Linked DNA regions of Struthio camelus. The protein of the gene in region 1 interacts with the protein of each later gene in a pairwise test. Links are inferred from orthologs where the notes say so. Each region holds a gene or a part of one and is shown in the gene's direction. Other genes may lie near its edges.

The links. The genes of interacting proteins can lie anywhere in the genome.
Region 2: the proteins of NCKIPSD (region 1) and STAC interact in binary tests that used the Homo sapiens proteins (3 or more experiments, as listed by UniProt). The link is inferred for Struthio camelus from reciprocal best matches to the Homo sapiens genes NCKIPSD and STAC.

Annotation. Positions count from the first base shown.
Region 1 is NC_090955.1:14,967,368-14,972,733, reverse strand, and holds the start of NCKIPSD (NCK-interacting protein with SH3 domain), read left to right. Parts: upstream 1-1,451; 5' UTR 1,452-1,538; coding exon 1,539-1,709; intron 1,710-5,366. UniProt on the Homo sapiens protein: Has an important role in stress fiber formation induced by active diaphanous protein homolog 1 (DRF1). Induces microspike formation, in vivo. In vitro, stimulates N-WASP-induced ARP2/3 complex activation in the absence of CDC42.
Region 2 is NC_090943.1:53,932,381-53,937,746, forward strand, and holds the start of STAC (SH3 and cysteine-rich domain-containing protein), read left to right. Parts: upstream 1-1,196; 5' UTR 1,197-1,701; coding exon 1,702-1,818; intron 1,819-5,366. UniProt on the Homo sapiens protein: Promotes expression of the ion channel CACNA1H at the cell membrane, and thereby contributes to the regulation of channel activity.

The DNA of each region.
Region 1 (5,366 bases):
GTTGCGCAGTGCTGCTGGTTGCGCAGTGCTGCTGGATGTGCAGTGCTGCAGGTCGCGCAGTGTTGCTGGATTTGCAACGCAGCTGGTTGCACAGTGCTGCTGGTTGTGTCGTGCTGCTGGATGTGCAGTGCTGCAGGTTGCGCAGTGCGGCTGGATGTGCAGCGCAGCTGGTTGTGCAGTGCTGCTGGATGTGCAGTGCTGCAGGTCGCGCAGTGCTGCTGGATGTGCAGTGCTGCTGGTTGTGCAGTGCTGCTGGTTGTGCAGTGCTGCAGGTCGCGCAGTGCTGCTGGATGTGCAGTGCTGCTGGTTGTGCAGTGCTGCTGGATGTGCAGTGCTGCAGGTCGCGCAGTGCTGCTGGATGTGCAGTGCTGCTGGTTGTGCAGTGCAGCTGGTTGTGCAGTGCTGCTGGTTGTGCAGTGCTGCTGGTTGTGCAGTGCTGCTGGATGTGCGGTGCTGCTGGATGTGCGGTGCTGCTGGATGTGCAGCGCAGCTGGTTGTGCAGTGCTGCTGGTTGTGCAGTGCTGCTGGATGTGCAGTGCTGCAGGTCGCGCGGTGCTGCTGGATGTGCGGTGCTGCTGGATGTGCAGCGCAGCTGGTTGTGCAGTGCTGCTGGATGTGCAGTACTGCAGGTCGCGCGGTGCTGCTGGATGTGCAGCGCAGCTGGTTGCGCGGTGTCACCGGTTGTGCTGTGCCGCTGGTCACACAGTGCTGCTGGTTGTGCAGTGCTGTTGACAGAGCGCTGCTGCTCGCCGCGCGTCCCCGCACGGGAGGATTTCCTAGCCCGGTGGCACCCTTGCTGAGCTGGCGCGCGTGCGCTTCAGGCAATGCCCGGCCCGGCAGCACCGAGCGCAGCGGGCGCAGCGGTGAGACGCTCCGCCGGGCCCCCCAGGAGGGACGCGCGGAGCTGCTGCCCGCCCCGCGGGAGGGGGACGCGCCGGCAGCCCCGCTGCGGCAGTGACCGCGTGGGCGCCCACCCCAGCGGGGTCCCGCGCCGGCCGCCGCGGGCGCCGGTGCCCCTTCGGCACGGCGGGCCACGCTGGTCCCTGCGCTCCCTGCTGCCAGGGGGCCTGCGCCCCCGCGGCCCCCCGGCTGCGAGGGGACGGCGGGGCCCGTCGCGGCGGCAGGACGGAGCGCGGGCCCGCGGGCGACACGGGCCCTGCTGAGCAGGGGCGTGGGCGTGGGCCGGGGTGCGGGTGTGACGGTGTGGTGTGCGGGGGGGGTCTGCGGGGGCGGTGTCACGTGCGCGGCGTCTGCCCCTGCGGCGCGGCCCGCAGGCAGCGCGTGCGCGGTGTGCGCGCTGTGGGCGGGGCGCGCGCTCAGGCGGCGTGCGCAGTGCGTGTGCGCCGTGGGCGCAGCGTGCGTAGGCAGCGTGCGTCCCCGCGGGGCGGGGCGGGGCGGGAGGGCGCCGCCGCCGCGCCGGCAGGGGGCGCTGTGGCGGCGGGGGCGGGGCCGGGCCGGGCCGGGCCGTGGCGGCGGGGCCGGAAGGGCCGCGGGGAGCCGGTGCCGGCGGTGCTGGTGCCGGTGCTGGTGCCGCCGCCATGTACCGGGCCCTGTACAGCTTCCGCTCGGCCGAGCCCAACTCGCTGCCCTTCGCCGCCGGCGAGACCTTCCTGCTGCTGGAGCGCAGCAACCAGCACTGGTGGCTCGTCACCCGCGCCGGCTCCGGCGAGACCGGCTACGCGCCGGCCTCCTACCTGCAGCGCCTGCAGGTGCGCGGGGGGGGTGAGCGGGGTGTGGGGCGGGGAGCAGGGAGGCGGGGGGTGTGGGGTGTCGGGGCGGGGGGGTAAGGGGTTGTGGGGCAGGGGGGTGGGGGGCGGGGGGGTGAGGAGTGTGGGGCAGACGTGGGGGCGGTGGGTGTCGGGGCGGGGGACGCGGGGCAGACGTGGGGGTGGTGGGTGTCGAGGTGGGGGGACGCGGGGCAGACGTGGGGGTGGTGGGCGTCGGGGCAGGGGACACGGGGCAGACGTGGGGGTGGTGGGCGTCCAGCGGGGGACGTGGGGCAGACGGGGGGTGTTGAGGGGGTGTGGGGCAGACAGGGGTGCTGGAGGCAGGGGGTGCTGGGGAGGAAGTGCTTGGGTGTGGGTGGGGGGGCACAGCGTGGCCAGGGTGCCAGTGTGCTCGCCGCAGTCTGGGGCGGGATGTGGGGTGGCTCTGATGCCACGGTGGGGTGCCGGGTGCCAGAGGTGTGGGCTGGGGAGCGGGAGAGCAGGCGCTGGGCACAGGGGAGCGCGGGAGGGTACGGCGAGGTGGGGACCGAGGGGCGACTGCACTCAGTGGAGAGGTGCCGGCTGGGCTGAGACCGGGCGCAAGCTGGGTATGTGCTGAGAGTGTGAAATGTTGGGGGAGAAAGGGGAGGATGATGAGTCCTGAGACGTGGCTGTCCGGGCAAGTTGAGCCGGGCAGGCACTTGGGGGGCTGCAGGTTATGGTGCAGGTGGTGGGGAGGGTGGGCTGGTTGGGGCTGGGCTCACAGAGGGGTTGCCCCCTAACTAGGGAAGCAGCTCTGCTGTCTGTCACATGTATGGCATGTGGATTTGGGATCCTGGCTCTGGACCCCTTTGGTACTTCTGTCGCTTAACGCAAAAGGGAATGGCCTGTCTGATGCAGAGAGCGGGACGTTCCCATCAAAGACCACCTGTAAGCTGAGTTTATGTATGTGCAAGGGTGGCTATTGGAGGGCAGCAGCTTGGGGTAGCCCGATGCATGAACTGTTCATGTCTGTTCAGCGGTCCCGTTGTCATGAGGGTTGGGGGTCGCTGATGTTAGCTACAAAAAGCAGATGTAATTCTCCATACTGACGGGACTTCAGCCTGGAAGAACTTCTGGGACATCATGCCCCTGCAGGGGTGAGAATCGGGAGTTTCAAGGAAGTCTGAAGGGCTGGTACCCTGGAGAAACAGTCTTCCTGTTGTTGACATGATGTTTAGAGATCAAGGTCCAGGGAGCACTAAGTGCAGGTCAGGGGCAAAACAGAAAGTTCAGCAGCTTCGACCTGAGGAGATGGGCTAGGTAAGCGTCACTTGGGTCTTGACTTATAGGTCAGGAGCCAAGGGATTAGAGGATTGACTTCACTCTTGCAGAAATGTGAGGAGAAGACAGAAAACGTTTATAGGTCATTCTCTAGGGAGACGGTAAGGGTGATCCCCCTCCAGAGGATACGCGTAAGTGACTAGACAGGCCTAAAATCTGGCAATTAGCAGCCCAAGTTGATCAAGTATGGGCTTTATTTACAGCTGTGTAGGCAGCTCCATGCTAGTTTGCTTGGTCATAGGTAGCTTTCTAATCGTGCAGTACCACAGCTGGCATGAGAGCACCGAGGGAGGTGTTCATTGCGCTCCTTCCACCAACAGGCCGTGACACTGATAGCAGACGAATCTGTCCTGGGGACTGGGAGAAGCCACAGCAAACGCCTGTGACTGCGGTGACAGTAATTACAGCCAAGTCAGTGATACTGGTAACTACAGAGAGTCAGAGGCGGCTCCAGCATCCTCGCAGGAGTCGGAGCAAGGAGGGCAGGTTCGGTGGTCAGAGCTGTGTGTGCGAGCCTCGCGCTGGTGTTGGAGAAGGTGAAGCTAGTTAGCTCGTGCAGTGCAGGCTTTCGTCTAATGGAGGCTTCCGAGGGAAATCACGGCTTCTGGAATTAAAACCTACTTTTGATATAAGGTAGTTCATGCTTTTTTAATACTTCAGGCCCTCAGGGGATGGATGTGGTAACTGCATGCAGACTGCTCCTTGTATCAGTGAACGAGTAACTGCACACGAATGCACAGGAACGTTATGAATGTGTTGAGTCTGGTTGAAAGCGGCAACAAACCCCTTCCTTTCAGTGAACTGATGATCCTCCTTCAGGTGCCGCTGAACTTCTGATCAGGCAGTAATGCAGTTTGTAAATGACTGTAGGTGTGTTCTTTGCAGAACACGTCAGTGCCTTGTGAGACAAGCGTTACCCCTAACACACACGTGCCCTCGCCGGGTAGCAGACTGTCTCTCTGCTGGCTGCCTGTTTTGGAAGCTGGGCCTTTCTGCTGGACTAGGACCTCTCCTGCAGCTTGGCAGAATGGGCTGACAGGAGGGGGACATCTTGTGAATAAATAAGCCCTTAAGCTATTTACAGGGCTATTTAAGTACAGAGCAAAGGCCTCTTTAAAACACTAGATTTTAAAACCCTGTGGTGGCATCGCTCCAGGCTGCTGCTCAAGAGTTTCCTCTCTGCAGTCCCTTGCTTCATTGGCCTGTGTGCCCTGACGCCTCCTCTCGCTGCTCTGGGTGCTGGAGTCTTCTCCGTTGCAGCAGCTGCCTCCTGGTGCAGTCTGCCAGTATCTCTCTACCTCATTTATAATAGTTTCAAAATCTGACAGAAAGGCATTTTCCTGCTGATTTTGCATTCTTTTCTGATGTTATGTTTTGCTGTAGCTGTAAAGCACTCAGAGGTAGCTTGCAGTCTCCTATATACCTTCACAGTGACTACTGGCAGTGCATTAGTAATTCACTAATAGTGTTACTGGTGACTTTGTGTATGTTCTCCTCTAGTTCAGATGTGACTTTCTCAAATGCTCTTAAACCTGGTACCAGGAAATAACAGTCTGTCTTGTCTCCTGTCGTCTTTTTTTTTTTAAATGGAAAAGTTTTTGGAGCTAGAACTTGCCTGATGAGGCATGAGACAGCAGGATCTAATTTGCTGCTCTGCAGTTATAATAATGCTCAGTGTATGTGACTTTCTTCCCACTGTTGCATCCTGCTGGCTCTGAAGAGCTGATCTGAAGTCAGAATTTGTTGTCATCCATGGAAAGCAGGCCTGGCTTGGGAGAAAGCATCTTCTGGCTGAATGCTCACTTGCAACTGCTTACCGAGCGTTCAGGATGAGAGCGCAAACAATTTGCCACCCTGTCTCAGTTTAATAAGGGTGCTGATACTAATTACTGACAGTGGTTTGGGAAGCAATTAATGTTGCCCCAATCAGAACAAGAATAACATAGCTAATGATTAGTGTTAGTGTGCTTAGCAGGGAGAGAGAGAGTGGCCAACAGGAGTCACCATTGTAAAAGTAAGCCTTTAGATTCCTTAGTAGTGTAGTCAGGTTTCAGGTAAAGGATAAGGCTGTAGGTCGCACAACAGTCACAGCAAATCTCTTCTGCCCACAGTGCATCCTGGTGCAGTTTGAAAGCTCATCACAGCAGGCCACTAAGACAATGCTCGAGGGAGACTTATTGGGCTACTTTTTGCTGGTGCCTTCCACTATTGGGAGCATTAGCTTTCTTCAGAGCTCCTCTCATGTTTCAGTTTTTTTGCTCAGCTTTCATAGATGTGGAAAACTCATGCCCTGGCTTCTCTAGTGAAAAACGTAGTTCCCACTTATTATTGTAAGCT
Region 2 (5,366 bases), on another chromosome or scaffold:
GGGGATTCAAAGAAAAGCTGTGTTTTCCAGGCCTCTGCATAGCTACAAAGAGTATAGAGGCTGCAGGACAATTTCTGCTCTGACTTTCATCCGTATAACCCATACTGTCTTGAAATCCTACCTTTCCTTTCACCCGTGGGTTGTTTGGGGCAGAGGGGGCCTGCGAGGCAGCCACAGGCAGCAACCGTGTTTCTAAGGGATGGGGCAAGAAGAGAGCCTGGTACCCAGAGCTACCAAATCTCTCTGGCTCAAACCTCAGCAAATCACCTCCAAATATACAGCAGTCTAGATGTACAAAGCAAGAATTTTTTTTCTGTGCACCTTTGAGAACAGAAGTGCAACTTATTGGAAACCCGTGTTTGGGTCGCTTTTTTATTTTTCCTTTAAACGAAAGGCCAGGAGGCATCTCCTCCAGCTGCATGGAGCAGCTCCTGCTCTGCAGAGCATGCATCTGGTGAGGAGCGCGTCCACTTAACCATTTGCACACCGCACCTAAAGTCAGGTAGGGAAGAGAGGTGACGTGCGCCTTTGCCGTGGATTTAAATCAGTGGAAAACTCGGGCAGGAGCCAAGCCAACATGCAAAGTTGTGGTGACCTTCCACCAGTCAGCCCGTGGCCCCAAGCGTGACTGCCGGGTGCCACATCCTGGCCAGCCACGGCCCTCGGGGGAGCCAGCAGGCCCTCCTCCCCGGCCACCTCGGCTCCAGCGCTGCCTGACGGAGGGCGATCCTGACGGAGGGCGATCCTGATGGAGCGCCATCGCTATGGCAAGCTGCAGGTATAGGGATTAGTGCAGCTCCGGGGGGGACCCTGGTCGGGTGTGCGCGCCCCACTCCGAGCAGCACTCCCCTGCCCGCACTTCAGTGTGCTTTGGGGAAGGACGAGCACGTGAAGCGGCGTCACACTTTGCCAGGGTTTTGGTGGCGGGGGGGAGGTGTTTGGCCTTTAGAAACATGGGGTGGCTATGGTTTTTAATAAACTCTTTGTGGGAGAAAGTGAGGGAACGCTCCTATTCCTCCTCTGTTTGTAGAGCTCTTTTGGGAACACATCAGACTTGTGAGAATATAAAGCTGCACTTCAAACTCTGATGCCCTCCGCCTGAGTGAAAGGTAAAAACGCTTGCAAACCTCATGCACGCTGCGTGCCTCTGCGCCTGCACGCGTGTGTGTGTGTGTGTGTGTGTGTGCACGCGCGCAGCACTTTCTTACACTACTATGACAGCACACGCTCCTGCAAAGCTAGTCAAGGCTTTAGCAACACAACTCCTCCCTCCGGTGCCCCGTGCGGGCGAGCGGCTCGGGCGTGCTGCCTCGGCTCACTCCCGCCTGACCGCGGGGCTGCCCGGCACGACTCCGCTCGGGGCCTGCGGGCTTCGCGCGGAGGAAAGGAGGACCGGGAAAACGCAGAGGCAGGCACAGGACTGACCTACGGCGCCAGCGGCGACTTGCTCCCCTTGCAGCAGAATTACATCGGGGAGGAGGGGAGAGGGAGGAGGGAGAGGAAGAGGAGAGGGGGAGGAGGAGGAGGAGAAGGGAAAAAAAAAAGAAAATCCAGAGAATTCCAGGCTGGCAAATATAGTGAAACAGCATGATCGGGGTTCATTCGCTCTAGAAGAGCAGAGAGGAGAGAGGACGTTAAACCGAGAAGAGGGAGAAAGGTCTGTGGCTCCTTTCCCGGTAGGAGCAGTGTTTCAGAGGTAAAATGATTCCCCCGAGCAGCGCGACTGAAGTCAGCGTGGACACGGTGGAGAAGGAGCACGAAGTGGAGAGCACAGAGCAGCCCCCCTCTCCGGCATCGACCACCAGCCAGGAATCAAAGGTATTGAGAGAACAAGATTTTTTTCTTTTTTTTTTTCCTTCCCCCCCTCCTCCTTTCTTTGCTTTATAAAGAGATGTGTTGCTTTGATTGCTATTTGGAGCCCTGTGGCAGGGTGTGAAATAGCCTGCTATAAGCCATCTCCAATCCGACAGTCATACTTCTGAACGCTTGCAGGTCACCTGGGCGGCTCGGGGCTCTGAACGGGGAAAAGACCTGGCTTTTGAGTTGTTGGGGTTTGGGGATTTTTGTTTGTGTTTTCCCCTCAGTATTATGGGGGGGGAGGGAGAGTCAGGGAGGGGATTGCTTTCGGTTGATATTTTTAGCTATTTTCACACTAGGCATGCATCCCTTAGAAGCATCTGTTCATAGTTGGAAAGACTGGTTTTCTCACAGGCTCAGAGAAGAGAATTTTGTCTGGAGGGCTGGGGTGTTTCACCTGCCTCACCCCCTCCAGCAGACCCGTCAGTGAACTTTTGCTGTTTAGCAAGCCAGCAGTTGAAACGGGATATGAGTGATAATTTTGGCAGAAGAATCTGTATGTACGCCACTCAAAAAGGATTTTTTTTTTCCTAGCCTCTTATTTACTCATTAATTATTAAATGTGGTTCAATTCTCCTTGCTGAAAGCCAACATCCAGCTCAAATGGTGTGGCTTCTAAATTTTTAATTGACTTGCATATGAAAAGTTTTTCTGCCAGCCGGTATGTTACTTGGAAAAAAGAGAAAGGTAACCGAAGAAAATTAACCTTTCAGAATGAATGCTCTTTGCAGCTTACCTGGATAACGTACTTTTCTTATCAGTATCATGCTAGCATCTGACAGCCCATCCCATGGACCATATTCCTAGTGATGCTATGTGCTGTGCAAACATGTAAAAATGGGGAGGTCCTTGTCACTAAGAGCTTACAGCTGGGCAGTGCCTTGGGAACTACTGTGTGAACTAAACAGCTGCTTCACAGAGGTGGTTCGTGTTGCCCGTCGTTTAAAGTCTAACGTAGGAAGAATCTACGTTATTCTGAGTTATAACGAGGTTTCTGTAGAGTGCGTTGCAATAATCTGTCTGTGTGGGTAGAGTTCTGACGTGGGGTTCGGGATCTTTTTTTAGATGCTATACTCCAAGGAAGAGAGCTAAGGTATTCCCTGTGTAAAACAGGCTCTTTAAAAGAAAAGAAGTCTCACAGCATCAATAGCATCCACTATTCACCATACACATTCAGCACTACCGGGATATTGCTACGCTCTTCCTTGATAATGGGAAATGACAACTAAAAGGGTTATTTGTTTAACCTCAGATCCCCAAAGGATCCAATAGGTCAGTACCCTACCTCCCCCACAAGGAGCACTTCCCTGGAGTTGCAGAATTGCTATTTGCCCAGCAGGAAGACCATCCCTGTGCTGAGGTCCCAGAAGTGAGTGGAGCCTCCACTATATGGCCAACGCCACTTTCTCAAATGTGCTGAGCTGTGCCCAGGGCTGTGCAGGCTGCACGCTCCCTTTGCTGCGACCCTTGCTCCCGTCCTGGTACGTGGTCATGGTGCTGGAGGTACCGTGCTCATTGTGAGACTGCGACAGTGTGCTTGAGGGACTTTCCCACCAGGTCACCAAGCTCTGTGCCCAGCATACATTGACCAAAACAGAACTCCTAAAATAAGAGAAAGCAAAGTGCAGCATGCAAGATTCCTTTTGGCTGCTTGCACAACCAAGGCACTCACAAAGATGACAATAGGAATTAGGCACATCTGGCAGTAAAGAAAGAGATTACTCACTGGTTTATAATCAAATTTTATTATCCTCGGTTTGGCCAGTCTTGTGAGCGTTTGAAGTGATGCAGGGGAACAGGCAAAAGTCTATGACTGTCTGTGCAGATTAGTTGATACTATTGCTTGCATACAGACATTTTCAGTAAATATATAATCTGTGTATTTACATTTTAGGACTGCAAATATGATCAGAAAGCATGCTGTATTGTCATTTCCATAGATGGACTCAAAAGAGGCTTCTGATCACTAGGGTAATGAGATTACGTTTGGTTTTTTGTTTCTTGCAAACAGGAGGATGGAAGAATTCTCAGTGATTTTGCAAAGATGTTGTTTGTGCTGTTTTTTTCCAAGGGAACTGATGTACTTCACAAGCCAGAGGCTTTGACACATACATAAGTCAGTGTGTGCCAAGGGCCTGCGTGCAAGCTTTTATCTCCCAGTGCCCCTGCTGAGGGAGCTATCCTGTCATTCATAGAGGACTCAGCTTTCTTCAGGTACCTCTCTGTTGCATAGGGGAACAAGTCCGTGTCCGCTGCAGCTACTGCAGAGCAGTTTCAGCAGTATCTAGTTACTATAACTTGTTTCTGTGGCAAAACACTATTATAACTCCAAATATAGGAATATGGATAGTAGCAACCTTCAAAATGTGCTGGAAGCATTTCAGTAGAAAGAAAACTTTGAAGAACTAATGTAGAACTAATGTAGCATAGATCTCTTACTTCCAGTCCTGTACAATCATGGACAGCTGTGGCATATAATCCCTTGCAGTACCAAAGTCCAGAAAATGTGTCCAAGCAAGCACACTCCAGAATGCACTCAGGAGATGACGTGGAGGACATACTGCAGTTCCTGACTAGCTTGAGTTTGAGAGGCAGAACTCCAGGGTGTTAAGAAGTAGCTGAAATTTGGAAGACTGTAAAGCATAACTCTCATGCTTTAGTCACACACCCTTTCCACAGTAATGCCTCTCACTCATAATAAACACCAAAGCCTTATACCACCTCTACCTACGGATCAGGAACATGCTTACAGGTGAGCAAACTCAGGTGCTGAAAGTTGAATGACCAGGTCCTCATGCACGTATTTTCCCTTATGAGCACCTCAGTGCCAGGAATTCAGTGCAACTGCTGAGAAGGAACAAATTCAAATGGACTTTTAATATGCCACATTGCATGGCCCCTAGCAGGAAGCCACAAATGCATGTGTAGAACCTGCCTGCATGCTGCTTATGGTGTAGTATATATAGTGTGATATAATGTGAATGTGTCTTTTGGATTGTGTGTCCTGAGGCACTTTATGTGTAACACCTCTGGTGTATTATTTCACTAATATGATTTAAAATAGGTGTCTTAAGTGCGTCAGGCACTGTAACTGGGCCTTCCTCTAACAGTATGTATACTGCTGCTGTGTTAAAAACCCCACAGCATGAATTTAGGAATGATGCAAAACTAATAACTAATTTTTTTTAATTAATTTATTGGCTCCCTAAAACATTAACTTAACACCGATCTACTACTTGAGTGGATCCTTAAGGTATATTAGGAGAAGAACTTTATAAGGGTACCATATAAATATATGTCATTGCTAATTCTAATATGTGCACATGTTTGTGATTATGGCTCCCATAGGTATGGGTCCTTCATGTCTGTCTTCTAACAAGGCAGATGGCCAGTTTGTGGGAGAATTTTGTAGATTTTCTTCTTAGCAAGGGAGGAAGTCATTAGTTAATGAATCCTAAAGGGAGATTTCTTCCTGATGATAGCAATTAAAGGCATATTGCACACTTGTA